3 linked regions of the Callithrix jacchus genome follow. The protein of the gene in region 1 interacts with the protein of each later gene in a biochemical or structural test. Links are inferred from orthologs where the notes say so. Each region holds a gene or a part of one and is shown on either strand. Other genes may lie near its edges.

Evidence for each region.
Region 2: the proteins of DNAJC3 (region 1) and EIF2AK2 form a complex in vitro, tested with the Homo sapiens proteins (2 studies listed by BioGRID). The link is inferred for Callithrix jacchus from reciprocal best matches to the Homo sapiens genes DNAJC3 and EIF2AK2.
Region 3: the proteins of DNAJC3 (region 1) and THAP12 form a complex in vitro, tested with the Homo sapiens proteins (2 studies listed by BioGRID). The link is inferred for Callithrix jacchus from reciprocal best matches to the Homo sapiens genes DNAJC3 and THAP12.

The regions. Positions count from the first base shown.
Region 1 is NC_133502.1:11,415,849-11,426,942, reverse strand, and holds the start of DNAJC3 (dnaJ homolog subfamily C member 3), read right to left. Parts: upstream 6,579-11,094; 5' UTR 6,472-6,578; coding exon 6,390-6,471; intron 1-6,389. UniProt on the Homo sapiens protein: Involved in the unfolded protein response (UPR) during endoplasmic reticulum (ER) stress.
Region 2 is NC_133515.1:77,859,258-77,869,594, reverse strand, and holds part of EIF2AK2 (interferon-induced, double-stranded RNA-activated protein kinase), read right to left. Parts: intron 6,892-10,337; coding exon 6,733-6,891; intron 5,011-6,732; coding exon 4,830-5,010; intron 1-4,829.
Region 3 is NC_133511.1:64,616,091-64,627,158, reverse strand, and holds the start of THAP12 (52 kDa repressor of the inhibitor of the protein kinase), read right to left. Parts: upstream 5,814-11,068; 5' UTR 5,681-5,813; coding exon 5,592-5,680; intron 1-5,591. Other genes in the region: protein GVQW3, read left to right, coding at 6,680-7,144. UniProt on the Homo sapiens protein: Upstream regulator of interferon-induced serine/threonine protein kinase R (PKR). May block the PKR-inhibitory function of DNAJC3, resulting in restoration of kinase activity and suppression of cell growth.

The sequences.
Region 1 (11,094 bases):
TATAGACCAATGGAACAGAACGGAGGCCTCAGAGGCAATGCCACACATCTACAACCATCTATCTTCGACAAACCTGACAAAAACAAGCAATGGGGAAAGGATTCCCTGTTTAATAAATGGTGTTGGGAAAACTGGCTAGTCATGTGCAGAAAGCAGAAACTGGACCACTTCCTGACACCTTACACTAAAATTAACTCCAGATGGATTAAAAACTTATACATAAGACCTGACACAATAAAAACCCTAAAAGAAATCCTAGGCAAAACCATTCAGGACATAGGCATAGGCAAGGACTTCATGACTAAAACACCAAAACCATTGGCAACAAAAGCCAAAATAGACAAACAGGATCTAATTAAACTCCAGAGCCTCTGTACAGCAAAAGAAACAGTCATTAGAGTGAACCAGCAATCAACAGAATGGGAAAAAATTTATGCAATCTACCCATCTGACAAAGGGCTAATATCCAGAATCTACAAAGAACTAAAACAGATTTACAAGAAAAAACAAGCCCATTCAAAAGTGGGTGAAGGATATGAACAGACACTTTTCAAAAGAAAACATTTATGAGGCCAACAAACATATGAAAAAATGCTCATCATTGATCATTAGAGAAAGGCAAATCAAAATGACATTGAGATAGAATCTCACACCAGTTAGAATGGCGATCATCAAAAAAATCTGGAGACAACAGATGCTGGAGAGGATATGGAGAAATAGGAACACTTTTACACTGTTGGTGGGAGTATAAATTAGTGCAACCATTGTGAAAGACAGTGTGGCAATCAAGGACCTAGAAATAGAAATTCCATTTGACCCAGCAACTCCATTACTGGGTATATACCCAAAGAATTATAAATCATACTATTATAAAGGCATATGTACATGTATGTTCATTGCAGCACTGTTTACAATAGCAAAGACCTGGAACCAACCCAGATGCCCATCGATGATAGACTGGACTGGGAAAATGTGGCACATATACACCATGGAATACTATGCAGCCATAAAAAACTACGAGTTTGTGTCCTTTGTAGGGACGTGGATATATCTGGAAACCGTCATTATCAGCAAACTGACACGAGAATATAAAATCAAACACCGCATGTTCTCACTCATCGGTGGATGTTGAACAATGAGAACACATGGGCACAGGGAGGGGAGCATCACACACTGGGGTCTGTTGGGGGGGACCAGGGGAGGGACAGCAGGGGGTAGGGAGGTAGGGGAGGGATAACATGGGGAGAAATGCCAGATATAGGTGATGGGGATGGAGGCAGCAAACCACATTGCCATGTATGTACCTATGCAACAATCCTGCCTGTTCTGCACATGTACCCCAGAACCTAAAGTGCAATAAATATATATGTATATATACATATAAAATAAATAGATTACTCAGTCTGTTGTATTTTGTTACAGCAGCACAAAGATACAACTGTAGGAGCAATATTTTCAGAAGGTGAGAGGAAATGGAATCCAGGTTGTTAAGTACACAGATTAGATTTATCTGGGAATAGAGACATTCTAAGTATTTTAATATGAGAAAAAGTAGCCGAATAGGTACAAATGTAGATACACTAGTAAATTCTGAGGTAGAAAGAAGTTGGTCGGGAACAATGGCTCACACCTGTAATTCCAATACTTTGGAAGGCCAAGGCAGGTAGATCATGAGGTCAAAAGATTGAGATCACCTGGTCAACATGGTGAAACCTCATCTCTAATAAAATTACAAAAATTAGCCAGGCGCGGTGGCACACACCTGTAGTCCCAGCCACTCGGGAGGCTGAGGCAGGAGAATCGCTTGAACCCAGGAGGCAGAGGCTGCGGTGAGCCGAGATAGCACCACTTCACTCCAGTCTGGCAACAGGGCAAGACTCCCTCTCAAAAAAAGAAAGAAAAAGAAAGAACAACTTGCCTTGTGATGGCTTTCATTTTCTCAATAAAGACAGGTCTAAAAGAATAAACAGGGAAGAGAAGAAAGGAGAGTTTAAATCAGAGGCTTAAGGAGGGAGGAAAATCCTTGAAATACTGATTTTCAAGAATAGACATACTAAAGAATTAGAGGAATGTTAGTAGTATTTAACATGCAATTACAACTGAGATTGTTTCTTTAAAATGAGACTAATCAGGGCCAGGTGCATTGGCTCACACCTGTAATCCCAGCAATTTGGGAGGCCAAGGCATAAGGATTGCTTGAGCCCAGGAGTTCAAGGCCAGCCTGGGCAACAAAGAAGACCCTATCCCTACAAAAATTAAAAAAAAAAAAGTGGTGGGCGGTGTGGTTGTGCACACCTGCTGTCTCAGCTATTCAGGAGACTGAGATGAAAAGACTGCTTAAGCCCAGGTCAAGCCTACACTGAGCTAGGATAATGGCACTACATTCCAGCCTGGGTGACAGAGCAAGACCCTGTCTCAAAAAAAATTAAAAATTAAAATAAAGATAAATGAGACTTATCAGCAAAGTTGTGTTTTTCCTCCATCCATGTTCACCTGTGAGGTATAATAAGAACTGGCCAAGTTGAATTTAACTAGTCCTGGGTTTTGGCAAGTAAAACAAAAGATTATAGGGACCAATAAATAAATGGTCATTTGCAGTGTACTAACTACAACGATGGACCACTCGGTCTACACTGAGAAAGGAGAAAAAGCAGACATGGATGCTTCACAAATGCATATCTTAAACCCCAAGTGGTCTGTAAAAAAAGCAAAAGCCATGACTTTTATACTATGTATATATATCTCACCAAAGACAATATAGTTAGTACAATTTGCTGACTGATTAAATGACTCTTATATATATTTCCAGAACTCCAAATGATACAAATTCATCAGATTTAAGTTTTTAAGTAGCTTTCTAAAGATACGGAAAGAAAAATAAATCTATCATTGAAAAGCTTGAGTTCTGAAGAGCAGGTGAATGGGTTCCCATGATATTTCCATATGAACAAAGATTAATTTGTTCATAAGGACATTAATCAATCACAGCAGAAATTAAACTTAACAACAACTAACTTCATATGGGAAAGTAAAACCTAATTACTACAGTGCATCCCCTCTCAGAACAACTCCCCCTGCCCCACTGAATTTCCGCGCAGTCTCAGCAAATAGTAACTAGTCAAGAGAACTGGAACTTTGATACTACTGCTAACTATAGTTTATCTTATTAAAGAATTTAAAATAATTCTAGAAAATATTTTTCTAGACCACCTTTTATAATGCTTAATTTATATAAATTACTTAAAGTCATTTTGCTACACTATTTATTCTTTCTATATTTCAATAATGTCAAGAAAATCCTAGAGAAGACAAAACATACCTTTAGTAGGCTAGGTTCAAATAAAATTATCACAAACTTTTACACATATAGATTTTCAACTGGTCAAAATATATGGTTTAATCAGCTCAGTGAAATAAAGAAAAGATGAGTCTAGATAGCATGTTAAGGAAGAGAAAGAGATAAAACTATGATAACAGAAAAAGGTTTGTTTCCCAGACTGTGTTGCTACTCAAGTCACCAACAGAACAAACCATTAACAAAGAACTGAAGTAACTACCTTATCTGTAACATGAGAATACTAAAGCAGATACTACTAAAGTTTTCTTTCTATTCCAAAAATTCTACTTCATCTAATGCTTTAGACTTCACTCTTTCAAAGGCCTTTGAGAAGGAAGGGTGCTAAAAGACTCAAACTTTCAATTCATGATATATATACTTCCTGTCTCTGGATGACAACCAAAAAGTCTAGAAGAAAACAGAGGCAAGTATTTCAAAATCAGAAGAAAAAAAAACCTAGGTCATCTCTTCTCCATCCTGTGCCACTCTTCGTTCCACATTCACTTCTCTCATAACCATTTTCCTTCATTTTTTTTAAAGTGAATTATATTGTGTACATTTGATGTTTGCAACATAGTATTAGGAGATACACACAGATTAAATGGTTACAATAGTGAAGCAGATTAATATATCTATCATCTCACATAATTACTTTTTGTGTGACAAGAGCAGCTAAAATCTACCTATTTAACAAAAATCCTTAATACAACACAATTTCATTAAGCCTCAGGCCTAGCAGTAGCACCATTTGTATACCAGAGAACTATGAGGTTAGTGAATCCAGACACAGAATTTATTTAGGAAAACGGGAGCTAACAGTTTGCTAATTCAAGTCAGGGCTTCTTACCTTTATAACCCCATCACCAAATCCAGTATCAAATACACAGCAGACACCTAACTTAACTCCTCTATATAATTTATTACACCAGTGGTTCTCCAATGTGGTCATCTGGGGTCTTTCCAGAAACGCAAAATTTCAGGTCCCATCGAGACCTAATGAAACAGAAACTCTGTAAGTGAGGTACATCACTCTGTTTTAGAAAGCCCTCATGTGCGATTTTGATGCACACTCAAGTTTGAGAACCACTATATTAAACCTGCCGGAAATAACCTTCTTGTTAATTATAAAAAAAAAAAAAAAAAAAAAAAAAAGGTGCTGTTTTTTTCTCAGCTGCCATCACTTACAAATGCTTGGACTCACATGCTTTCAACCACTTAACTTCTGTCTCCAGCCTGCACACAAAATGAACTTTAGTAAAACCTTTGGAGCCTCAGTTCCCTGGTCTGTAAAGTGGGAATAACACTACACACTTCCATGAATAAGAGACGGCTTACAGAAAGGCTCCTTTCCTTTCCTCTCTGTCACCTGTACCAAGTCCCTGCTACTTTACACAAACAATGCTCCTAAAGACACTCTGGCACTCCTCTAAGAAATGTCACCAGGGCTTCCTACACAGAAAAGCTCTCTAATGAGGTTTTCTTATCGAAAATAGCACAGGAGGGAAATGAAGAGAGTCCTACAGAATCTTACAGAACAGCAATTCTAAAAAGGTGGTTCACAAGGTAGTGGGAAAAGCAATCATTCAAAATCGTGCATCTCTGTAACTTAAAAACAAAACAAACAAACAAAAAAAAAAAACACCATTTAACAGAACATAGGCAACTTTCTCTTAAGTGTCCAAAATAAATCATTAATGATAACTGGAGATAAATACTACAGATGGTGGGAGGCAGGAGGAATGAAGCTTTTGACAATGCATAAGAATTAGAATATATGACCCATATATTAAAGTGGTAGAGACCTTCAAATTCCAATCCCCTAAATTTTCTGGGGGCAGTCTTACTGCTAAATTATTTGTCCCAGTGTTGCCACACTATGTGCTGTGATTTGGGGTTCAAAAAATATGGTTACCAGGGGAACCAAAAGCAAAAGCCTATTGCTATGAGTGAGACCTAAAAACTAGGGAGTACTACCTAAAAAAAAAAAAATAAAAAGCTGAGAACTTTTTATTTTTTATAATTTATGAGGAATTCACTATAAACAATTTCCAATTTTTAGCTCCTCGTTCTCTCTGAATGGAATATTCAGGTTTAATTTGACCTCCTTGACAACTAGCCCTTTTTATGAGGATGAAAATAGATCCGTGCATGTGATGTGTCATTATACTCGAATATTTCGCACAGTAACCTCGCCAGGAGCATTCGTTAAGTCGGCACTATCAGCTTCAATTCTTCCTCCTCCCCTCTGCCATCTAAGCTAGGACAGCCCTCTATTTTCGTTATTCTGTTGGAGTAGCCAACATTCCAGTCTGCAGGACTGAAGAGAAATTTAATCGCTCCTATCTTTTCAGGGGAACCTTTTTCTTCACAGAACTTGGAAAAGAAATGCCAGCCAGACGTTGAATGACACCATGCTGGGAGTTGTAAAACCATAAACTCTGTGCCTGGCCGTCCGGGAGGAGGAATTCCAACAGCGGCTCCTCGTTGCACCAACCTAACGATTTCTCCACACGACAGTGCATCGTAATGCGAATGGTTACTAACTTTTTAAACAGTCAACACCGTCCTCTCCAACTCCCAGCCGGACAGGGCAACCCTACCCCGCCCAAGAACTCCAGAGCGAAGGAAGCCTTTTGGCCACCTCAGTGGTTCCTCCCAGCACCAATGACCGCCAGTGTCCCCAGGCGCCCACCGAGGGTCCCAAGCGAGGCCGAGACCCGAAAGCTGCCCAAGTCTCCGCGTCCCAGGACGTCCTGAAGTCGCAGCCCGGTGGCCCCGCTCCCCGCCCCGGGGCGCACCCCGTCTCCTCCGACCCCTAGGGCCATGTTCCTCACTCCAAACCCACTGTCCCAGCCCCGCGGCCCGCCAGTCCCCTCGACTCTTCCCCAGGCAAACCCGGAACTGGGCGAAGGCTCAGGCCCAATCCAGGCCGCGGCGCTCGCCCCACCTCCTGAGTAGTCCTGGGACACGCGCCCGGGCGCACACGGGGAAGCGCTGGTGGCCTGGTCCGGGAGCCCGCTTCCCGGCCAGGGCAGGGCAGGGCAGAACTCACCTTCGTACTGCAGATCCACTAGGACCAGCAGGAAGGGGAACACCGAGCCCAGCCGGCTGGTCACGGAGCCGGGGGCCACCATGTCCGAGGGCTCGCGAGTGAGGAGAAGGAACGGTGTGTGGCCCACCAGCCCGCGCCGGCACTCTGGCAGCAGCTGCGCCCGCCCGCGTCGGCTCCAGCTCAGGCCTCAGCGTCTCTGGCGCCCAGCGGAGAAAGGCAGCTGTGGGCGGGGCCCGGACGACGCTACGCCCCGGAGCTCCGCCGCCGTCCAATGGCCTTCTTCCTGGCCTCTTCTTTCCCGGGCTCGCCTGGGTCGTGGTTCGCGCTGATAGGCTGCGGAGGCTGCCGCCCCGCCCCATCCCTGATAGGGTAACGTGGAAGCACGAGACAAGGCTGCGTCCGCGGGTCGCAGAGCTGTCAGCTATCTCCAAACCGCCGCGGCCGCCGGGAGGGAGGCGGATGGGGAGTGTGTGGCGGCCGCCGAGCCCGCATGCGCAGGCTGAGACGGCCCTTTTGGGCCAGTCCCGCTGTGCTAGGTTGGCGAGTAGAATGATTTGATCCATTTGTGGTTCGCCCGCGAGGTGTTAGGAGTGGAAGGCGCAGCCTCAGCGTCCGAATGGGAAGGCCAAACGCGTTCCTGGGGAGTCGAGAGGAGCTGCAGGACGCCTGGAATTGAGGTCTCGAGTGAACCGGGAAACACAGCCTCCTGCTGAGCGTCCCGGAACAACTACTGTCTGAACTGAGCCGTAAGCAAGAAACGGCCAGGAGAAGCTGGGGCTTAGTTAATTAGGGCGATCTGATGGTTAGACCATTTCAGGGACAACCAGGGAGAAGTGCGTAATTGCTCTGAGGCAGGTAAGTAACTGGCCTGGAAACTTGGGAACCACCCACCCCAACTTTCAGCAAACCAGCGTGCCCAGGAAAAAAAGAGCGGCTGTGGAACCCCAACTTTCAGCAAACCAGCGTGCCCTGGAAAAAAAAAAGCGGTCGTAGAAAACCCTGTGAAGAAGAGACCAGAAAGGCACTGTGGCTTATGAGAGCAAGGCGTTCCTGAGCGCAGCCAACGTCAACTGTTAAGAAAACAAAAAAAAATGTGAGACGGGATCCTGCATCTTGGGCTTACCAGGGGAAATTCAAGATAGATATGAACTTGAGCGAGATGAAGTTACTCAATGCGGTCTTACGCCTGTTCTTGGCCACTTCCTCCGGCGTCACCAGCACACACACTGTACACTAACAGTATTTTTACACGGGGTAAAACAATGCTTTGTGTGTGTTAAGTACCGTCAAGTGCATACTTATTACTTCACCTGTATTTGCTGCCTTGATACTATTAGAGAAACTCATGAATTATAAATAGTATAGTGAATTTGTGATTCCCCGAAGACATACTAAAGGGGGCTTTTAAAAGGGAACTAATATGGAAGAAATTGTTCCGAGAAAGAAAAAAACGGAGTTCTTTATTAGTTATGGGGAAGGAAACATAATATAATGTGAAGAGTAAAGGATTCAGATCCAGGAAACGCCACCACTATTATGCAAGTTATCTTCATCTGTAAAGTGGGTAGGATCCTGATAGTCTCCAAGGTCTGTTTTGAGGTTTCATGAAGCAAATAAATGATCTTGTAAATTGTAGAATGTTATACCAGTGTTACTCATTAGTCAAACACTAGCAAAATAGTGAAGAGAGACTCCAGAAATTCCTTGGGTTTTTTTGTTTTGTTTTGTTTTGTTTTTGTCTTGCGTTTTTCGATATCACAAGGTAGTGTCTCTGAAAAACTGCCGATGGCTTCAATATCCACAAATACACAGGTGAAGACATTCAGTTGAGGTCCTGTAGCCAAGGCAGCCAACAAAATGCGGACCATAGAAAATAGCTTTGTAAACAAAATGCAGTACTCCTAGACTGAGTTTCACCAGTGTGCTGCCTATGACCCTAGTCTTAAGGAAAAAGTAGCGGAGCTGAAGAAATTCTAAGGATGGAAATTGAAAATTATTAAGGAGGCGATAGACTTCGTGTTATAGAAAATAAAAATAGCAAGGGTCTTCAATGCTGAGTGATTTTGAACATTAATTACATAACTATGAATTATGTAATATTAGAACTAAGCTTTACAAAGTATTTTTCGTAAAAGATAATTTTATAACAAAGATGGTAACATTACTTTAGACAGAAATAAGTGTAAAAAACTACAATTATATGTATAATGCTTGGGAATGTTTGCTCCAATGTTCATCTAGCCATGGTTTTCACTAATCCCTTTTGCCAATAAAACCAAAAACCAAAGTTATTCAGTGATTGTAAGAAAAGTAATTGTAAATATCGTTTGCATTTGTCAGAATCTATGCAGTCTTTTTGAAATTAAACATTAAATCTATACTGTAATTCATACTATCTGTTAAAGATTTTAAAAACAATGGTAGCATATTTACGATATATCCAAAATTAAGAGTATTGTATAATTTTTAATACGTTGATTTATGTTTATTGACTAGGAAAAACTTGATAGAGAGCAGTGAACAGATCTAGAACATATTTTGGAGGTAAAGGGGATAAGATGTGCTTACTAATTAACTATGAGGAGAAACAAATGTTCAGAAACAAGTAGAGCACTTATAAACACCGTTTGTAACAAATTAAAAACAAAAAAGGCAGCATTAAATTAATGTCACAATATACATCCTTCCACATTTATTTTTACAAACTTGTGCTTTTGTTTCCAAGAAACATTTCTAGGCTAGGCGCAGAGGCTCACAGCTGTAATCTCAGTGCTTTGAGAAGCCAAGATGGGAAGATTATTTGAGGCCAGGAGTTTGACACTAGCCTGAGCAACATAGCAAGATCCTGTCTCTACAAAAAAAATTAAAAACTAGCCAAGTGTGGTGGCTCGTGACTGTAGTCCTAACTACTCAGGAGATCAAGGCAGAGGATAGTTTCAACTTAGGAGTTTGAGGTTGCAGTGAGCTAAGACAATGTCACTGCGCTCCAGAGGGAGCAACAGAGTGAGACCTTAACCAAAAAAAAAAAAAACTAGATTTTTAAAATTGAAATTGCTTAGTCAACGAATGCATTTAACTTTTAAGAGGCATTGTCAGATGATTTTTCCCTAAAAGAGTAATTTTTGGCCGGGCGCAGTGGCTCAAGCCTGTAATCCCAGCACTTTGGGAGACCGAGGTGGGCGGATCACAAGGTCAAGAGATCGAGACCATCCTGGCCAACATGGTGAAACCCCATCTCTACTAAAAATACAAAAATTAGCTGGGCGTGGTGGCATGCACCTGTAGTCCCAGCTACTCGGGAGGCTGAGGTGGGAGAATTGCTTGAACCCAGGAGGTGGAGGTTGCAGTGAGCCAAGATTGTGCCACTGCACTCCAGCCTGGTGACAGAGTGAGACTCTGTCTCAAAAAAAAAAAAAGTAATTTTCTGTTTCTATCAGCTGTTTATGTTCCTATATACTCACCATCACGATAATTGATTTTCAGGTTTTGCCAGTCTGATGAATGAGAAATGACCCTTCTATGTCAAATTTACTGTTTCTTTTCAAGGATTTGTGGATTCTGATAAAATTTCAGTACCTTCATATAAAATTTGGCTTTTAAACCACATCGTGTCTTCTCTGCTTTTCCCTTCTTTTCTGTTGTTTCTTGGCGTCTAGCCACATGACTGCAATTTCCACTTTTGTATTCACATTATCTTCTGTCGTTTTTACCTTTTTGCCTCCCCCTTATAAGGATTCTTGTTATATTGGGCCCACTGAGATAATCCAGGATATTCTCCCTACTCAAGTTCCTCAATTTAATTACATCTGCAAAACTGCCTTTTGCTATAGAACAATGACAGGATGTTGGAATGTAGAATATTTGAGAGCCATTATTCAACATGACACAATACATCCCCCTTCACCAGGTAGAGCTCATTTTCCCTCCTTCCTTGAATGTAGGCTAGACTTAGTGACTAACTTCCAAAGAATAGAGTATGGAAAAGGAGGAGAAGAGTGACTTCATAGTAGAGAAACCTACAAACACTATCTTGCCCAAGTAGTCAAGATTAAAATCATCAATAAAATAGAAAATATTGATAGCATTTACTCCCAATATGATGTGATGAGAAGAGCAATTCACCTCTGTGGTATTCTCAAAACCTATAACCCAATCTAGTCTAAACATGAAAAAAAATCACACAAACTAAAATTGAAGGACATTCTATAACACACCTGTATTCCTCAAAACTATCAACATCATGGAAAACAAGGAAAGATTGAAATACTGTAACAGACCAAAGGAAACTGAGGAGACTTAGTTGATGACTGAGTGCAATGTGCTGTCTTAAACCAGATCCTGGAATAGAAAATAGACATCAGTGGAAAAACTACTGAAATATGAATAGTCTCAAGTTTAATAGTAATGTACCATTATTACTTTCTTAATTTTGACAAATGTACCATGGTTATGCAAGATGCTAACATAGGGAAAAAGTAAGGAAAGGGAATTTGGGACCTCTCTCTACTATTTTTATACTCTTAGTTGAAAATGGTTTCAGCAATAGAAGTTCATTTAAAATATTGTAAAGAGTCTGAGTATTTTTAAATCAATTGCAGTGACTCCCTTTTGTGTATTTGTGCCCAAATGAGTTTTTCTGCATTAAATTTTATCTCCTCTCCTTGCAGAAGAAAGAGAATTAGCCCTTTACAGAGATAATAGTTGC
Region 2 (10,337 bases), on another chromosome or scaffold:
GAATTCCCGACCTCAGGTGATCCACCCACCTCGGCCTCCCAAAGTGCTGGGATTACAGGCGTGAGCCATCATGCCTGGCCTCTTGGGGGTCTTTTTTATGTCAATTTCTCCAAGCCTCTGACAACTTCTTAAACATATCCCTTCCACCTTGAAAGGATACCAAGTTAATTGGAAGATGATAACTAGCTCTGAAATATTTTTTATCCATGCAATTCTTTAAGCAGATTTTTTTTTTTTAAAAAAAAGGAAGAACTGAATAGAAGTGGTCATTCTGACTCCATAGCTTTATAGGAGGTGTTTTGTTTGTTTGTTTTGTTTTGTGAGACGGAGTCTTGCTCTGTCGCCCAGGCTGGAGTGCAGTGGTGTGATCTTGGCTCACCAGAACCTCTGCTTCCTGGGTTCAAGCAATTCTCCTGCCTCAGCCTCCTAAGGAGCTGGGGGATTACAGGTGTGTGCCACGACACCTGGCTAATCTTTTTGTATTTTTAATAGAGACGGGTTTTTGCCATGTTGGTCAGGCTGGTCTCAAACTCCTGACCTCAAGTGATCTGCTTGCCTTGGCCTCCCAAAGTGCTGGGATTACAAGCATGAGCCACCATGCCCAGCCCATAGGAGGTATTGACTAATATTCTGTTTGTTTGTTTTTGAGATGGGGTATCATTTTGTTGTCTAGGATGGATTGTAGTGGTGTGATCATGGCTCACTGAAGCCTTGACCTTTTCAGCTCAAGTGATCCTCCCACCAAAGCCTCCCAAGTAGCTGGGACCACAGGCCACCAAGCTGAAGCCATAGTGACCAACATTCTAAAGACCATAAAAACAGAAACGTAGTTGATGAGAAAACTAGTATTTTGCCATTTTTGAAAAGGCTGGACTTTTAGTACAATCTTAGGCTATATACAAACAGACTGTGGGATAACACACTTATGAGAGGGCCTACCTAGTAAAGAACCTGAGAGGGAAGAGACTATTGGCCCAGGAAAGGCTGAAGGAGGAGCTTCCAAGAAGCCAGCCTGAGATGACGGCCATGCAGAAATTAGCAGTTGGATTAGAATTCATTTTTTTTTTCTTTTATGGATTGGAGGTTTCAGAGAATCACAAGGAATCAGGTGTTCAGAGGAATGTATTGAGTAGAGGTGAGGAACTAGGATGTTGAAAAGTAAAAAAAGGAGAGAAGGAGAGGAAGAAAGAGGAAGAAAAAGAGGGAGAGAGAACAGGAATATTGCTTCATTCTAAAAATGGGTATTAATAAAAATGGGTAGAATTCAATTAACAGATTGGAGCCTAACACTAATAATACAGACGGAAGACTGAAGACAGACGTGGGGTGGATGTGGAGAGAAAAGATTCCTATGCTATGCTCAAGTTACAGGTAGGAATATGTTGGGATTGCAAGTGAAACTGCTGGTCCCATATAAGGCTATCTCGCCTGACTCTAAGAAACTGTAAATATCCAAGCTGGATGAGACTCTGTAGTAAAAATATCAGATCACTTTTTATAGTTTGTTAAAAGGAAAAAGTGGGCCAGGCATGGTAATCCCAGCTCTTTGGGAGGCTGAAGTGGGCAGACTGAGCCCAGGAGTTCAAGACCAACCTTGCCAACATGGTCTCTACCAAAAATACAAAAAATTAGCTGGGCATGGTGGCAGGTGCCTGTAGTCCCAGCTACTCAGGAGGCTGAGGCAGGAGAATTGCTTGAACTCAAGAGACAGAGGTTGCAGTGAGTCGAGATTGCTCCACTGCACTCCAGCCTGGGCGACAGAGTGAGACTGTGTCTCATGAAAAAAAAAAAAAAAAGAAAAGAAAAGAAAGAAAGAAAGAAAGAAAAGAAAGAAAAGAAAGAAAGAAAGAAAGAAAGAAAGAAAGAAAGAAAGAAAGAAAGAAAGAAAGAAAGAAGGAAAGGAAGAAAGAAAGAAAATAAAAGAATAAGAGGCTGGACACAGAAGCTCATGCCTGTAATCCCAAACTTTGGAAGGCCAAGGTTGGAAGATCACTTGAGCTCAGGTGTTTGAGACCAGCCTGGGCAACATGGTGAAGTACTGTCTCTACAAAATATCAAAAATTGGCCTGGCTTGGTGGCCTGTGCCTACAGTCCCAGTTACTTTGGGGGCTGAGGTGGGAGGATCACTTGAGCCCAGGAGGTTGAGGCTGCAGTGAGCTGAGATCATGCCACTGCATTCCAGCCTGGACAGTAGAGTGAGAACTTGTCTCAAAAAAAAAAAAAAAAAAAAGAAATAAAAACAATAATGCCACATTTTGTCTAATCAGCTATAGTATGACTAGATAAAATATAGGGTCGTAGAGCATAAAAAAGGCGTGAAACTTCACATAGGAGGCACAGGAACAGGGCTGATGCTCAGGCCAAGGACAGCCAAAGAGCCGGGGCTTTAGGAGACTGAACATTTTAGAGAGAAGCAGCCTCGGACAAACGCCCTCACTCCAGAAACCCCTATGTCCCCTCCCAGCACCTTTGGTCTAGTTTCTAAGATTCCAACAGAAAGTGGTAAACATTTGGAGACTTTTATAAGAGGGACTGGATTGGGTAAAGACCATTCTCTGGCAAAACCACCTACACCTGCTATTTTGCAAAGCATAACCCCAAAAGTGTACACCTTCACTGAATCTTTTCTTAGAAGAGAGAAATCAACAGCTGTAGTAGTGAGAGCTAGAAAAGTGACAGAAGATGAAAGAAGTCTCACTATCAAAGCTTGAGGCCAAGTGGAGTGGAACACACCTGGAATGCCAGCACTGTGGGAGGCTGAGGTAGGAGGATTGTTTTGAGTCTAGGAGTTTGAGACCAGCCTCGGCAACATGGTTAGACCCTGTCTCTACAAAAAACCAAAAAATTACCCAGGTGTGCTGGTGTACACCTGTGGTCCTAGCTATTCAGGAGGCTAAGGTCGGGGGACTGCTTGAGCCCAGGAGATCAAGGCCGTAATGAACCATGATCATACCACTGCACTCTAGCCTGGGCAAAAGAGCAAGATCTTGTCTCAAAAAATTTGTTTTAATTTAAAAATAATTAAGTCTGACCCTTGAGCAACCGTAGCCAGAGCAAAAATTCTCTGCAAATAGATGCAAGGAAAGACCAGTCTATGACACAGAGTACACAGTGCGGGGTACAATTGGTAAATAAGTGGATAGGCACCAGTCAGAATTTTGCTAATTCATTCTGAAGATTAGGAACTTGATGCCTACACTTCTGCATTTATTTGCAAATCATTATATATAGAAATAATTGTGCTTATTTTGTTATTTACCTATATGTGTGATTTATCCCAAAGTGAAAGTATAACCACTCTACAATTATCCTTTTGAAATAGTCTTGACGATATTGCAACTTCAAATAACACCTTCAGATATTGTAGAAGAGACATATTGGAACCAGGCAGACTCAAAACACCAACACATCAGGCAGCCAGCCTCTGAGCAGACCACAGAAGCAATACCTTTTAAGTGCTACTCATTCATATCTGAGCCAATAAACAACTGTATATATGGGCACTTATTTCTCTCAAGGAATTTTTTGTTTCCTTCCTTATTCCTGGCTGTTTTAGAGGAGTGGGGTAAACAGATAGCCACCTAAATGAGGTACTTCTGCCTAGAATAGAAAAAGGCAGTTCCAGACTGACCAGAAAAGGCTCCAGAAAGAAATTACAACCAAAGGGGACAGGTAGAAGAATGTCCCATGAGAGTGAACATGAGCAAAGGCCCAGGGACAGGATTTAGGATGGCCAGCTTGTGACAGGTGTAGGTAAGTCACAGGGAATATGGAATGGAGAAAAGGCTGTGAAGGGCTATTCGGTCTCTCACCTTCTGTCATTTTGATGAGAAGTAAAAGCAGGGAATCTACTTGTCCAGACCATGAAAGCCAGAGGAAAACAAAAATACTAATGGATGATACACTTTCCCAGTTTAGGATTACTGCAATTTTCCAGTCATGGGGTTGAAATGCCTAATCAAGACAATAGATTCCTGACCCAAGAGCTGTGACAGCCTTCAAGAGTAATGACTGAGAGATTAGGGAACCATATTCCTAAAGCCACAGTCAACAGAGTCCCTTCTGCCTCTCAAATAAGCCTGAGTCACTTAGAGGAGGCAGGAGAAGCAGGGACAGAGCAGCCAGGTGGCTGTGCCAGTCACAGTAATTATTTGCATGGAAATGTTCAGTATTTGACAGCTATTAGTGCTTACATCTGGGTATGACTATCACCCACATAGAATGAGAAGTGAATGAGACTTTTAACAGGGCTCATTGTCACAATAACTTCACTAGGTAGCCCAGGAGATCTTCTGAGTAGCTGTATGGAACCACATCTGGGGCTAGTTCTAGACCCATTCTAACATTAGAGGATCAGAAATATCATTTTCTCATAACTATCAATCAACCACCATTCTAAAACTAAAGACACACACACACACACACACACATATGTACATATATATATATATTTTGAGGTGAGTCTCAAGGCTGAACTCAAGTTGAGTCTCAAATCTCAACTCTTTTGCCCATGCTGAAGTGCAGTGGTGTAATCTCCACTCACTGCAACCTCCACCTCCCAGGTTCAAACAATTCTCCTGCCTCAGACTCCCAAGTAGTTGGGATTACAGGCACACACCATCATACCTGGATAATTTTTGTATTTTTAGTAGAGACAGGATTTCACCCTGTTGGCCAGGCTGGTTTTGTAATCATGACCTCAGGTGATCCACCCGCCTCAGCCTCCCAAAGTGCTAAGATTACAGGTGTGAGCCATTGTGTCCAGTTAAGAAGATATATTTTTAAATTAGTAAATTATATGTATCAACTAATAAAGTACTTCTGCTTACCTTAAGATCTCTATGAATTAAATTTTTTGAATGTATATAATCTACCCCTGTTGTTATTTGTTCAAAGAATTCCAAAGACAAAACTTTGTCTAGTTTCTTGCCTCTTCTGTCTTCAATCCATTGCTCCAGTGTCCCTTTATCACAGAATTCCATTTGGATGAAAAGGCACTTAGTCGTTGATCTGGGTATAAAATTCACAGTATGTTAAAAGTAACAATAAATATAAATTTATTAAAAAAATCATATCTTTTTAAAAGCTTACACCTTATCTTCTTAAGAACTCCAAAACAAAACAAAAAAAGAACTCCAAAACATGTCTCAAAATAGAAATCTAAATATAATAAATTTGAATCAAAATATAATAAACCATTTTTTATTTCAATCATAAGTTCCCAGATGTCCAGAGCTTTATTTGTTTAGCTAATTTATAAAATATGAGCTGGGCCGGGCATGGTGGCTCATGCCTATAATCCTAGCACTTTGGGAGGCAGAGACAGGAGGATTGCTTGAGCTCAGGAGTTTGAGACCAGCTTGGGCAGCATGGTGAAACCCCGTCTCTCCTAAAAATACAAAAATTAGCTGGGTGTGGTGGCGCAGCACCTGTAGTCACAGCTACTCAGGAGGATGAGGCACAAGAATCACCTGAACTCAGAAGGTAGAGGTTGCAGTGAGCTAAGATCGTGCCACTGTGCTCCAGCATGAGTGACAGAGTGAGACTCTGTCTCAAAAAAGAGAAGAAAAAAAATGAGCCACCCATTCTTTATTGCTGAAGATCTGCAATCATCTTTGCTAATAGATAGAAATAGGAACATGAATATAATAGAGTTGCAGGAAACTAAATTTCATTATTATATAAAGTAATTTGAAACCTTTTAGTTCATCATCCAACTACTGAGCATGAAAGGTACCTAGAGATAAGAAAATGAGTTAGACACTATCCTTGCCATCATGGGGATAATAGTCTAATAGGAGAGAGTAAGGGAAAAGCAAACCTGAAACAATAGGAAAGGTACTCTAGGAGAAGTGCCAACAAATTACTACGAGATATAAATCTCGTAGATTGATTTACTTTTTTTCTGAATTAAGTTAGCCTCAATATTAATTTATATTCTTGGTATAAGTCAGCTTGAAAACAGGAAAAGGTAGCCAAGAATTTGCTGAAACCTTAAGTTCTGTATGTCCTGAAACTGATGATAAAGTTCTCAGTTACATGAGGTAGAGACGGAGGTGGGGGCAGGAGAAAATGAATGAACAGGACCCCATTGGCCTCAGGATTTTAGTGAGAGGACTATCCCCAAAATAGGTGGGTTGACTTTCAAAGACAGATGCCAGCTCTTTAGGATTTCCAGTTGTTTGGCAGTGGCTTACCTGACATAAAACATAAGGGTGCCCCCATCTCAGCTTGTGGTCTTAAAATTATTTTCACTGCCCACCACCCCAGCCTAAGTGGTATAGTTACATTTCAAAGAAACCCTTGAACTGCACCACACCAATCACAGCCTAAGAGAGGGATAGAAAAGTGTTGGTAGTTGAGGAGGGAGCCCCCAGATGCAGCATCTATATGTTAAAACTCTCTCCACAAGACGACATTTACAGCCTGTACTGAAACCAGCATATACACAAGGCCCTCCATTACACAGTGGTGTCAGGAAAGCTGAACCTGAGATTTCTGAAGACAGCTAAGGATATAACAAAGGGTTGTGAGAGCAAGTCTGCAGCAAGGAGAGGAACAAGGAGGAGATTTTCATTTTCTCCTTACCTTCGGAATGGAGAGATAAGTGTCTCTCAGAGGGAATTGTGATTATTAACTGCAGTAATTAATGGCCTTATCCAGTGGCCCACACAGAGTAAATAACAGTTTCCTTCCATCTTCTTATGATTATGAGAATTTCTTTTTAGTTACCTTGAATTATTTTTGCTGTTCTCAGGATCATAATCACCGCTCTCAGGATCATAATCACTGCTCTCAGGATCATAATCAAATCCATCCCAACAGCCGTTGTAGTGAACAATATTTACATGATCAAGTTCTGCCAATGCTTTTACTTCACGCTCTGCCTTGCTAGTTAAAAGGCACAAGGAACATGGAAGTGTCAGTGTACATCCCTAGTAACAACCACAAAACACCTCCTATAATCGGAGACAACTATCGACATTCCCTTATTAAACAATTGCCGTTCTCACACAATTTTAGAATGGAAGCCAGGAGATTCAAAAGGAAAAAGTGAACATACTGAAAAAAACCATAGGTGCTCTCACTCCCACTCTTTTATTTTATCTCAACATAAAATAAAAGGCAGCAACTTCAAGAATGCCAAACATTAGACAATTTAAAAATCATCTGTAGCAGTCTTGAAATGCCAGTGGTGGGGCCGAGTACGTTGGCTCATGCCTGTAATCCCAGCACTTTGGGAGACCAAGGCAGGCAGATCATAAGGTCAAGAGTTCAAGACCAGCCTGGCCAACATGGTGAAACCTCGTCTCTACTAAGAATACAAAAATATAGCCGGGCGTGCATGGTGATGTGTGCCTGTAATCCCAGCTACTCGGAAGGCTGAGGCAGAATTGTTTGAACCTGTGAGGTGGAGGTTGCAGCGAGCCGAGATCACACCACTGCACTCCAGCCTAGGTGACAGAGCAAGATTCCATCTTGGAAAAAAAAAAAAAAAGAACCAGTGATGCAGTTTTAATTCATTTATTTTATTGAGACAGGGTCTCACTTTGTCACCCAAGATGAGTGCAGTGGCACGATCTTGGCTCATTGCAGCCTCAACCTCCCAGGCTCAGGCAGTCTTCCCACATCAGCCTCCTGAGTAGCTGGGACCACAGGAACACACCACCACACCCGTCTACTTTTAAAATATTTTCTGTAGAGATGGGATTTTGCCATGTTGCCCATGCTGGTCTCAAACTCCTGGGCTCCAGTGACCGACCTGCCTCAGCCTTCTAAAGTGTTGGAACTGTAAGCATGAGCCACTGGACCCAGCTGATGCAATTTTTCATAGCTAAATCATACATTATGTTTCACTTAGACTTTGTTAAAATCTTTAGATTTCACAAGCAAACCACATTTGGCGGCAAGGCTAGGTAACCCAGGCAGTGTAAAGTACCTAATTCAGGATTTTCAATGTGTGGCAAAAATACCCAAAAGGACAATTTATGCAGAGAAGGTGAGATGGTGGGAGGCATTATAGGGATGTATTGCCAAGACCTAAGACAATTCCATGCTAAATGCAGTAAATAATTTGGAGGTCTCAAAGATGAGGAAGGATAAACAAACATTTTATAATTTTATTTTTTAATGCAAAAAGTTCTAAACTATATGACAAAAAATTTGCAAAAACAAAGAAAAAATTACTCATATGTTGACAATCCTAAAACAATGTTATTATTTTAGCTTCCTTCCTACAATCTATTATTTTTCCTTCCTCCCTCCCTCCCTTCCTCCCTCCCTCCCTCCTTCCCTCTCTTCCTTCTTTCCTTCCTTCCTTTTCTTCCTTTCCTTCTTTTTTTTTGAGACAGGGTCTCGCTCTGTCACCCAGGCTGGAGTGCAGTCACAATCTTGGCTCACTGCAACCTCTGCCCCTAGGGCTCAAGTTATCCTCCCACCTTAGCCTTCCGAGTAGCTAGGACCACAGGCACACACCACCACACCCAGCTAGTTTTTGTAATTTTTGTAGAGACAGGGTTTTTGCCATGTTGCCCAGGTTGGTCTCGCACTTCTGATCTCAAGTGATCTGACAGCCTCAGCCTCCCAAAGTGCTGGGATTACAGGCATGAGCCACCGTGTCCGGCCAGTCATTTTTAATGGCTGCAAAATAGCCATTGATCAGCATACAGAACAAAACATGTTTACTCATTTCTTCACTGCTGGATATTTTGTTTGTTTTAATTTTTCACTGTTAATGAACGACACTGTGATTTATATCATCTTGGATATAAATCCATAATTTAAATAATATATATTTTTGGGAGATAGGGTCTCACTGTCACCCAGGGGGTAGTGCAATGGTGTGATCATGGCTCACTATAGCCTCCACCTACCAGACTCAGGTGATCCTCCCACCTCAGCTTCTCGGGTAGCTGAGACTATAAGCATGGCCACCACACCCACCTAACTTTTCTATTTTTTCTAGAGATAGAGTTTTTCCATGTTGCCCCAGGCTGGTCTCAAACTCCTGAGCTCAAGTGATCCACCCACTTTGGCCTCCCTAAATTATATTCTTAAAACAGGTTCCCAAACAGGAAATCCTTGGGCCAAAGTGTATAAAAGATTTTATGGCTCCAGATTAATATTTCCAAAGATATTTTAAAACATGTTGCATCAATGTATAAAGTACTAGAAATGACCAAGACACTGGGCCATCATCAACATTATTATACTTTTTTTTTTTTTGAGATGGAGTCTCTGTCATCCAGCCTGGAGTGCAATTGCACGATCTCGGCTCACTGCAACCTCTACCTCCCAGGTTCAAGTGATTCTCCTGCCTCAGCCTCCCAAGCAGCTGGGATTACAGGCACCCACCACCACACCTGGCTATTTTCTGTATTTTTGTAGAGATGGGGTGGTTGGCCAGGGTGGTCTCAAACTCCTGACCTCAAGTAATCTGCCTGCCTTGGCCTCCCAAAGTGCTGGGATTACAGGCATGAGCCACCGCGCCCGGCCCTCATTTATTCATTTTATTTTATTTTTGACACTGGGTCTCACTATGCGGCCTAGGCTGGTCTCAAACATCTGGCCTTAAGCAATTACCCTGCTTCAGCCTCCCAAGTAACTGGGATATTATTACCATTTGTTACAATTTCTATCTAATGGAAGGAATAACAGCACAGCAGAACTTCATTCCTGTTAAATAAAACAATGAAGAGAGTAGGAATGACCCTATTTCAAATGCAAAGCACTGTGCATGAGAGAAGTAGGTTTGTTTAACCGGGATGAAGAACACCCAGCACTCCACACCTATGTTTCCTTTGCACATCTCATTTTCCTTAAACCAGATCCCTTTCCCATCTCCTTTGCTAGTCTTTGAGGGATCAGTCTGGCCAAGCTACACATAGTAACAATTGCCAGAGTGCAACAAGCAAGATTGGTGAACTGGTGGCCATGTGATTTAAGACTGCCTTTCTGTGGAGGTTTTCCTTCCTGTTCTGCTATCCAGCAGGAGTGGGAGGGTAGATAATACACAAAACAAATGTTGGAAGCAGTGGGTTACAGTGGGAACACATTGAATTGGCATTCCAGGGGATAAGTTCTAAATCCCCACCTTATTACAGAGGAGAACATGTCCAAAGATAATCTTGAAATCTTGATCTGTTCTTTATCATCCCATACATGCTTCCACTCCTTAAATTAAGAGGTAGAGCCTATTTGCTCTCCCTCTGAATCTAAGCTGGCTTCAGTGACTTGTTTAACCAATATAACTTGGTGGTAGTGACGTTCTGGAACTCCTCAGACTAGGTCAAAAGAAGCCTTGCCCCTCACTCCTGGTCCCTTGGATGACTTGTTCT
Region 3 (11,068 bases), on another chromosome or scaffold:
TTGAATAGATCTTTTATCCATGTATGTTCCTGTAAAACCATAAATTGGTCATTAGGAAAATATTAGTTGAGTTAGACATACCACATAAATATTAATGCAATTCATTATACAATATAAAAAAAGATCACATCAGTATCATCAGTGATCTCACCAGAAAAGTCTTTAAATATTAGTGACTCAGAGTCTTTAAGTATTAGAGACTTAGAGGACTCAGTCCTCTCACAGAGGGAAGATTCTAATTCTGTCATTACAATTTTCCAAAATTCTAATTTTCAACTTGAATGCTCAAATTATCAGCTGTTTTCCTTGAAGTGGCAGCCTTGTTTATTTCTGACAAAATGTCTACCGAACACCCAGATGTGAATATTTAGAAAATTCTAGAAGACACAATACACAATTTATCAAAGCAATGGTCCATCATGTTATGTAGCACTCCCAATATTCCACTGTCCAATCCTGAGAGACTGAATATGAAAAATGCAAATAATATCAGTGTTATCATGAAAAGGTTTGACACTGTGGACTCCCTGAAAGGTGTAGGGGAATGCTATGTTCTGAATGTCTGTGTCCCCTCAAAATTCACGTTGAAACAATCTCAGTGCAGTGCTGTTGGGAGGTGAGCATCTGGGAGGTGACTTAAGTCGTGTGGGGGACACCTTGTTTGCCCCTTCCACCATGTGAGAACACAGCAAGGCACCATCTAAGAGGCTGGGAGTGAGCCCTCATCAGACGCCAAATTTGCTGCTGACTTCATCTCGGACTTCCAGCTTCCAGAACTATGAGAAATAAATTTCTGTTGTTTAAAAATCACCCAGTCTAAGGTATTTTCTTATAGCAGCCCAAAGGCACTAATACAGGCACCCTCATGAGTCCCGCCCCTCTGTTTTACATTTCACAAAGTAGAGTACATCGACTCTCAATCAGCCTTGATTAAATTGCCAGAACCTTGGAAGCCCTCACCCATCTTGGGTGAGCGAGTACTAGCTAGCTGCCTGAGGAGGAAGGAGAGAGCAACTATCTCTCATCAGAGCAATTCATTACCTCTACCTGTACACATTCTGGTTTAGGGAAGAGCTTCACTGTGAGCTGCCTCACAGTGGCAAGCCTTGGCATTAGGCAAGCCACCCAGGGGCAATCAAGATTTAGGCAGTATAGGCAGTGTTTCTTTTTTTTTTTTTGAGGTGGAGTCCCACTCTGTCGGAGTGCAGTGGTTCGATCTCGGCTCACTGCAACCTCAGGCAGTGTTTTGTTTTGTTTTTACTTAAACCCTGTCACTGACCTAAGCTGGTTGATAATTTCACCTTTTTAAAAAAGAAGCATATTAATGCCACTTTTTCTAAAACAATAAAAATTATTATGCTATGTATTGCCACATCGTACACTTCATTAATTACACTCTAGAAGTTTAAATTACTTCTAAATAGCTGTTTTTAAAAGGGTGCATGGAATTTATAACTGATTACTGGGAAATGTACTGTTTTAATAGCATTAAATATATTCATCTTTATTGCTAGTTAACAATGTTAGCTAGTATTTGAAGACTAGACTGACAATGTCCCCTTTTATCAACCTTCCCTACCACCTGTTTACAGAAGAAATGGGAGGGGTTAAAACTAATAACCCTAAAAATATTGTTATTAATTCAGTAACGCCTCTGGAAACTACTTCTTTGTTATAACTAACTCTGGGGACAGTGAAAAGGAAACTATCAAATACAGTAGAACTTGAAATCACAGGGTACGAGCAGATTTGAGTTGGCTAAAAAGACCTTGAACATATTATGTAAACAAGCCAGAAATAAAAGGAAAAATAGTATATGATTCAACTTACATGAACCTAGAACAGGCAAATTTATAAAGACTGAAAGTGGATTTGAGGTTATCAAAGGCTGGGAGGACAGGGGAATGGGAGGTTATTGCCTAATGGTTGCAGTTTTTGTTTGGGATAATGAAAAGGTTTTGGGAATAGTGGAGATGGTTGTACAACACTGTGACCGTAACAAATGCCACTGAATTGTACACTTAATAGTTAATATAGCAAATTTTGCTGTATGTATTGAAACAAAATTAAAGTTAACATATATATCCCAAATTGTTCATTTTAAATGGGTGAATTATATGGTATGTGAATTGCATCTCAATAAACATTCTTTTAAACAGAAATTCATGGCCGGGCGAGGTGGCTCACTCCTGTAATCCCAGCACTTTGGGAGGCCGAGGCAGGCGGATCCCAAGGTCAAAAAATCAAGACCATCTTGGCCAACATGGTGAAAGCATGTCTCCACTAAAAAATACAAAATTAGCTGGGCGTGGTGGTGCGAACCTGTAGTCCCAGCTACTCGAGAGGCTGAGGCAAGAGAATTGCTTCATCTTTCATGTGCTTGTTAGCCACTTGTATCTTTCCTTTAAGGAAAGAAGTCCTTTGCCTATTTTTAAATTGGGTTGTCTTTTTGTTGCTGAATTTTAAGAGTTCTTTTTTTTTTTTTTAAATTTTATTTTAAAGACAACCTAGGCAGCCAGTAAGAGTTCTTTATATACTCTGAATACAAGGCCCTCATCAGGTGAATTACTTGCAAGTACTTTCTTTCATTCTTTTCACTTTCTTGGTAATGTCCTTTGATACACAAAAGTTTAATTTTGATGAAGTCCAATTAGTCTATCTTTCTTTTTATTTCATGTAATTTGATCATATCTAAGAATGTTCTCCGGATGAGTATGATGGCTCACACCTGTAATCCCAACACTTCGGGAGGCCAAGGCTGGCGGATCACCTGAGGTCAGGAGTTAGAGACTAGCCTGGCCAACATGGCAAAACCCCATCTCTACTAAAGAAATACAAAAATTAGCAAGGCGTGGTAGTGGGCGTCTGTAATCCCAGCTACTTGGAAGGCTGAGTCAGTAAAATCTCTTGAATCCAGGCAGCGGAGGTTGCAGTAAGCCGAGATTGTGCCACTGCACACTAGCCTGGGCAACAGAGTGAGGCTCTCTCAAAAAACAAAACACAAACTAGAATGTGCTGCCAAATCTAAAGTCATGAAGACTTATCTGTATTTCTTTTTCTAAAAGTTTAATGGTATAGCTCTTATAGTTAGGCCTTGATCTAAACAAAAGTATAGGTCATTTGGAGTTCATTTCTGTATATGGTATAATGAAAGACTTCCCTTTTTTTCTTCTTTCTTTTTTAAGACAGAATCTCACTCTGTCCCCCAGGCTGGAGTACAGTGGCACAATCCCAGCTCACTGCAACCTCCGCCTCCTGGGTTAAAGCAATTCTCATGTCTCAGCCTCCCAAGCAGCTGGGACTACAGACATGCACCACCATATCTGGCCAATTTTTTTCTTTTTTTTTTTTGGAGACAGTTTCACTCTTGTTGCCCAGACTGGAGTGCAGTGGCATGATCCCAGCTCACCACAACTTCCACCTTCCGGGTTCAAGCGATTCTCCTGCCTCAGCCTCCCATGTTACATGTGCCATGCATGTGCTACCACATCCAGAAAATTTTGTATTTTTAGTAGAGACGGGGTTTCTCCATGTTGGTTAGTCTGGTCTTGAACTCCTGAACTCAGGTGATCTGGCCGCCTGGGCCTCCCAAAGTGCTAGGATTGCAGGCATGAGCCACTGTGCCCAGCTAATTTTTGGCAGAAACAGGGTTTCACTACGTTGGCCAGGCTGGTCTTGAACTCCTGACCTCAAGTGATCCACCTGCTTCAGCCTTCCAAAGTGCTGGGATTACAGGCGTGAACCACCATGTGCCGGCCTAGACATCTATTCTGGAATACCTATCAGGCCTCTCAAACCCAAACCTGCTCTTCCCAGTCTTCCCTATCTCAGCAAATGCTCACGTTAAAATTCTTGAAATCGGCTGGGTGCGGTGGCTCAAACCTATTCTAGCACTTTGGGAGACCGAGGCAGGAGGTTTGCTCGAAGCCAGGAGTTCAAACCAACCCTGCCAACAAAGATTTTTAAAATCTTGAAGTCGTCCTTGACTTCTCTTTTTCTTTTACAAGCTACCTCCAAACCATTAGCAAAACCTGTTGACTTCACCTTTAAACCATATCTCAAAATTGCCACCTCCTCCTCTACTAATCTGAATTATTGCAACAGCCTTTTAACTAGTCTTTCAGCTTTCACCTTTACCTCCCTACAATCTATTTAACGAGCAGCCACTCAGCCTGCTAAAATTTAAGGCTCTTCTCTAAACCCTTCAATGACTTGCTATTTCACTCAGAATAAAAACCATAGTACACCTACAATGTCCTACCCTACAGAATTTGCCCTACCATATACACACCTTTCTGGTTTCATCTTACCTCTCTCCCAGTCCCTTCCCATGGACTCCTGGCTGCCCTGTCTTTGCATTTACTGTTTCCACAGTCTGGAATGCTGCTGCCCAAGGTTATCTCCATGCTGGCCCCTTCACTTGGTGTTTGCTCAAATTCACCTTCTTAGTGAGGCCTTCTTTAACCACTCTATTTAAAATAGCAATTGTGCGTCTTTTGGTACTATTTATTCCCCTACCCTCTAACCTTTGCTTGTTTTTCTCCACAGTAGTTATCATCATCCGACACACTTTGTATTTTACTTGTTTATTCCCCGACCCCCCCCCCAACGCCAATAGAATGTAATCTTCATGAGAAAGGACTTCGATGTGTTCATCTGTAACCCCCATTGCTCACAATAATGCCAAGCACAGAGTAGACCTTCAATAATTAATTATTGAACTAATTAATAAATAACGCACTACATTATAATCCCCTGTTGCTGTACCTGTTCCCTTAATGGACTGAGAGCTTTCTGCATGCAGTGACACCCTTATTTGCCCATGAGTTCCCAGCACCTAACATCTGAGCTCGGCACATAGTAGGCATTGATTTTTGAAGAATGAACCAACAAGACAGGCCTACGAAACATCTCGGCCTTTCAAACATGGTCCCTACGCTACCACTCCCTAAATATAAGTCAGTGTGTGGGGGTTATCTCAAGGAAGGGGTTCCAATACCAATTCCACGCCCCACGCGTACACCCTGTTATGCCTACAATAACCAAGTGAGAAAATGAGTAACGGTAACAGCCAGAAAATGAACCTTGAACCGTGCAATGACAAGTCCGAAGGAGAGAGTAGCTGTGACGAAAGAAGGCAGTGGGAATCAAAACAGAAACACCGTCCCGGGGGTGGTGGCAAGGAGAGGGAAGGGCCCCAATGGCCACAACCATAGAGTCCTGCTCTCTTTTGACAGCTAAGGAAACTAAAGCCCAGAAAGGTAAACGACTCGCCCGAGGTCATACAGCAAGTGAGCCACGGCGAGAACCCACCGCATCCCGCGTCCGCGGGCAGCCCCAGCTCCCTAACGTTTGAGGTGGTGCCCTCTGCGCCGAGCCCCCGCCAGAGCACGTGCTCCGAGGTCCCCGGACGCCCGCCCGTCCACGGCTGACGGCCGCTTCCCCATCTCGGTCCAAAGCTGGGGTCGACGGCAGTGCGCTGCGCCCCTCTCCCACGCCCCTCTCAGCCCGGGAGCCCGCCTGGGGCCGGCGGCTGGCAGCGCTCACCGCCGAGGTGGGCCCGGGCCGCCCGCTCCGCGCCCGCCACTTACCTGGCCGGGTCCCGTGGGAACCTGAAGAAGGCCAGGTCGGACTGCGTGCTCTTCCGGGTGCAGTTGGGGGCAGCGCAGAAGTTCGGCATCGTAGCCCGCCTGCCGGCCGGCCCAGCCCTCCCCTCCCCGCCTCCTCAGGGCAGTCCGCCCGCCCGTCGGGGACGGGGAGGGAAGCCAGGCCGGCCGGCCGGCTCGGCAGGGCCAGCGCGCGGGGGAGGGGCTGGCGGGCGGAAAGCCGCGAGGGCCAGGAGGGGTGCCGCGGTCCGAGGCCGGGCTGGGGACGCGGCTCCACAGTGCTGTGAGCGGCCGGGAGGATTTACCGCCGCCGCCGCCGCTTGTGCACCTCCCGCCCGCCCGAGACGCTGCCGCCTCCTTCCCACAATGCACCCTGACGCCCGGGGGTGCCCTCTCTTCCCTCAGCCTTCCTCCCCCGCCCTTCCTTTCCGCCTTCTCCGCAGGCGGGCATGCGCAACGAAGCGCGCCTGGCGGCGTGTGACAAGACGGAGGCGGGACTTGGCGCGCGCTGCCTCAGTGCGACTGCGCACAGTCTAATCCGCGAGGGAAGGGAATTGCGCATGCGCGCCTGTCTCCCTGGCTCCTAGAGTAGGCGAGCCCCAGGCTGCTCTGGTAGGTTTGGCGTGCGCGGGTTTCTGCAGATCTGGGGCGAGCTTGCACGTTACATCACCTATGCACCTCTTCTTGCTTGCTTTAGTTGCCACCACTTAGACCTTTCTTGCAGAAATCGCCATATACTCTTTAAGGGCCGCGGAATCGGGGCGACCTTGGTGACTGATTGGCAGAATCTTGGCAGATGTGCGTGCACTGGTTGGATGCAGACGTGGTTGTAGGAGATTTGATTTTTCCAGCTTTGCAGCGACTGTTGGCCCTGTTAGCTTCCCAGAACGGATCTCCCTAGTCTCGACTGGAAGCTGAGGGACAAAATCTCAGAAACGCAATTACTCTTTCCTCACCAGGCTTCTAGGAAAGCAAGAATAGCGATATTATTACACCTACAGCCCTATAGAGATTGATCTGTCTTTCCCTCACAGTCGTGGCCTGTTAACGCTCCTGTGTTGTTCAGTGCCAGAATGAGTGACCGCTATTTAGAACAAAGGATTAGTATCAAATTTTGCGTGAAGTTGAATAAGTCTGCAAGTGAGACCCACCATCTTTTAAAAGAAGCTTATGGGGATGAAGTCATGTCAAGGGCCAGAGTTTTTGACTGGCACAAAAGGTTTAAAGAAGGACGGGAAGATGTTCGAGATGACGCCCGAAGTGGGCGTCCAGTCACCCACAGGACAGATGAAAATATCCAGAAGGTCAAGGACTTGGTTTGTTCAAACAGGCAGTTAACTGTGAGGATGATGGCTGAAGAGTTAAATTTAGACAAAGAAACTGTTAGGCTCATTTTGAAAGAAAACTTGAACATGAGGAAGATTTCTGCCAAAGTTATTTCCGGTGTTTTGAAGGGTGAGCCTACACCACGAAAACTTGACTTTCAGTCCGATCTTTCAAAGGAAACTAGGAAAAATAGCTCATGTTTGAGGAAAAAGGTAACAGGTTCTGAAACATGGAGTCATCTCAAGGGTGAAGCTGGTGGGGAAATGCCCCTGCCCGTATCCCATCCCAGAGTCCACTACCCCGCCAGCCAGCTTCTTCAGGCTTCATCTTCAACAAGCCTTCCCCCCAGGGTAGCTGAGAATTGGTTCACCCCATGGTGAGAGGAACGTGAGTTAGCTGAACCAGAACTAGGAAGCTGCCTCACTGTTAGGCACCTTCTTTGGCTGCTCACCTATTTTCAGTCTTTGCTACTCCTCCCTGTATGTCATGGCCCTCCTCATTACTCTTTGCTGGACTGTTGAACCATCCTCCTTGCTGTTCTCCACAACTTTGAAGAACTTCTGGCTGTTGCCTTCTGGTACTTGCTTGTTCTTGATTTTTTTTTTTTTTTTGCTCAACAAGTTTGAATTTCTTCTCTGCCCAGACCTTAGCTTGTTGTGAGTCCTGTTCCTTTGTTCTCAACATTCTGCCTCAGGATCATGCCAGTGAGAAGTGAGGAACAGGATCTCCTGGATCTGTATCTCTGTGCCCAGGGAGACATGCTGTTCTGGGAGGACCCCAAAAGAAGGCTTACAGTTTCATCCTGCTTTGCAGTCAGGGCCTGAGGTATGGTACAGAAGGCAGTGGGATGCTGGTACTACTGAGCAATGCTAGCCCAAAGGGCTGATCTGGCCCAGATGACTCAGTGGGAGCGCGTTAGGAGGGGATGGCCACCAATACTGATCTTCTCTCAGGCCTGCACCTCACAGAAGAGCTGGGTTTGCTTCATTCTAGTCTTGTGCTTTGGACCCCCATTCATTTGGGTATCCTATGCTGGAAAAGGAGGATCTGGTCCTAGAAAATATAAACCTGGAGACCCAGGCCTAAGCTGTGATGTGTGGGGAGGAAGACCAGGTGGTTCTGTAGACCCTGAATTAAGGGAGCCTGATACCTATGTGTGGATTCCCATACAGCAGCCTGTTTTTAGTAACTAATGCCTATAGTTTTAAGAACTTGCTGTTTTTAGAACACTGCTGGACGTTGACAATGTGGAAGTTATAAACAATATCTCCAGGAGCTGACGGGCTACATGGATGAGATGGTTCTTGAACTGGATCCATGAGGATGGGTATGACAGGGGACTGTGAAATTAGGGAAAGCAGGTGGAACAGCATGAGGCATCAAACCTGCATCAGTAGAAAATGATGACATTTGCTTCTTCTCCTATGCCTCCAACTCTATGCCAGTTGATAAATTGCTTCTCCTGAGTCTGTGAATTGGTTTGTAACAACCAATTTGATATCTGATTTTCCAGTCGGAACCTCCAACAAGCAGATTCTGCAAGTTCAAACTCGTTCATTTCTTCTCTTCCTACCTCTGCCAGGATTTATGGAATGGAACTTTTCTCAAGTGGGTTCCAAGGAATACCACATAGACTAGAAACATTCAGGGGCAGGGGTTTGGTAACAGCATTTCACAGAATTGGCCAGTGTCTTTGTTTTACTCGAGGATTTTTATGTATACCAGCTCCTCTTAAACAATATTGCTTGAGAATAGAGGCGCATCACTTACTTATTCATCACGGTTACTTTTAGTGCTGTTCTTTCACTTTCTCTACTCACCTGCAAAAATTACAAGTTCCTCATTAACACCTGTTCTTGTTGTGGTGGTGGTTGTTGTTTTGTTTTTTGAGATGGAATCTTGCTCTGCTGCCCAGGCTGGAGTGCAGTGGTACAACCTCGGCTCACTGCAACCTCCACCTCCTGGGTTCAAGTGATTCTCCTGCCTCAGCTTCCTGAGCTGGGATTACAGGCATGCACCACTACACCCGGTTGATTTTTGTATTTTTGATAGAGATGAGGTTTCACCATGTTGGCTAGGCTGATCTCGAACTCCTGACCTCAGGTGATCCACCCACCTCGGCCTCCCAAAGTACTGGGATTACAGGCATGAGCCACCATCCCCAGCTAACACCTGTTAATTCTGAGGCACCTTGAAAGCTAGACCTTGTCCCACAAAGTGAAGATACTATATAAGAACTCTTAAACCAAGCAACAGCTTATAGACCTTAGCTCCTTAACAGTTTCTAGACATTCCATTTCAGGACCATTAAGTCTTCTTACATCAGATGTGGCTCTGGGTTGCCCACAAGCACTTGGCACCACGGACACTGCACTTTAGGAACAAAGTCCTCATCACTAGTTCTTGCGTCTTTGTTGCTGAACTTATATTAATCCTTAATGAGGCCCACCCAGTGGTAATTGTTGCCGATTTATATGCTTCTGGACCCAGGCCAAGATCCCACAACCCTGCCTACAGGCATTGCTTCTAACCTGTTGTAACCCAGAAGTCCTGAGACATCTTACTTCTGGGTTTGATTCCAGTCCTATGAACAGTGCTGGTGTGTCCCTGCCAATGATGCTGGACCAAGACCCTTGCTGTAGTATAGAGTACCAGAGCTATGCTGGTTCAGACATGGTTTAGACACAGCAACCAGAAGCAGGTAATCAGGAGTGTGAATTCAAATGCTTCCAGGTGGCTGTAATGAAAAGGACTTACCCAGAGCAAACCATTCACATTTGGCTGCTCAGAATCTAAACCCAAGGGTAGAGCATGATCTAGGCATCCCCAGACAGGAAAGTTCTTATATGACTACTCCTAATGTGCTCACCTACCAAATCCATTTCGTTGCTGATCCACGTTTTGCCCTGGCCTGCACCTTGCTACCTAGGCCTCTTGAGCTCCTGGTCCCATAGTCTCACACATCTAGCTATGTGTCTCTCACACCCCAGGCTCTTCCCCTTGGCTGTTTTAAGACACCTCTCAATTTATTATGCACCAGTTTGCTCTTACTCCTCTATTTCCTTGTTGCTTTGTTTTCTGGTCCCGGGTCACACCTTCATTAGCTGCTTTTGGTCATTTTGGTATGCTGATCCTTCAATAGACCTTTGAGTCTATTGAAGTTTTTCCACTTAACTTACAATTCTTCTCTCTGATTTTTTGGATCCTTCTTCCAGCTCCCCACTTCAGCTGCTGAGTAAGGAAATTGTCTGCTGTAGCCCTGGCCCCAGGTTGCCTTCTTATCCTCAAGAATTTGGTGGGGCAACATGGGGGGATGATGTGTTGATTTGTTTTTTGTAAGGGGCGTGGGCAGGAAAAGGTCCCTCTTACCCGTAGCCACCATGAGTTGCACTCCCCAGAGGCACCCAGTGTCAGCAGTTTCTCAAGGAGGCAATTTGGTTACCTCTGGTACCAAGAGTCATGAAACTTTTTCAGAGCTATAGCATCCAAAGCCCATTATCCTAGCAACTGTATTTTCCCTGGTAGGAGAACCTCCACCTAACCACAGATCAAGCCTGGTTTTCTGTGGGATGTCAGGAAGAGAGCTGGCCATCTGCAAACTTTCTCAAGCTTAACACAATTGGTCAATGACTCTGTTTGGCTTTTAGGTTGATCTTTGTCCCCACCCCCATGCCCATCCTAATTCAGAGTTCACATGAAATGTTTTATGCCACTGCTGAGAAAGAAATACATGCCTTCTGGGGCAGGTTATCCTATCACTGATGTTATGTACTTCTCCCCTTCCATCACCCCACCCTACCTTGCTCCATTTGCCCCACTAGTATTGATCAAAAAGAGAAAGAATAAAATGTTCACCGAATCTGTAACTTATAAAAAAAACATGTGGATGGTTCTGCTGTCTTCTGAATTCTGACCCTGACTGAGTCTTCAATGAAACGTTATCATTTGGGAAGAATGTTTACCTGGGGCCTCCTTCCCAGAACCTTTCTCTCAGATCCATTTTTTAGTCAAAGTCTATACTTGCCTTTGGAAATGCCTGGATAAATCTGGATGCTAAATGACTTGAGGACACCGAATAAAGGAATGGGGTACTATTAGGGAATTGTCATTCATTACATTACAAACGCTGCTCAGCT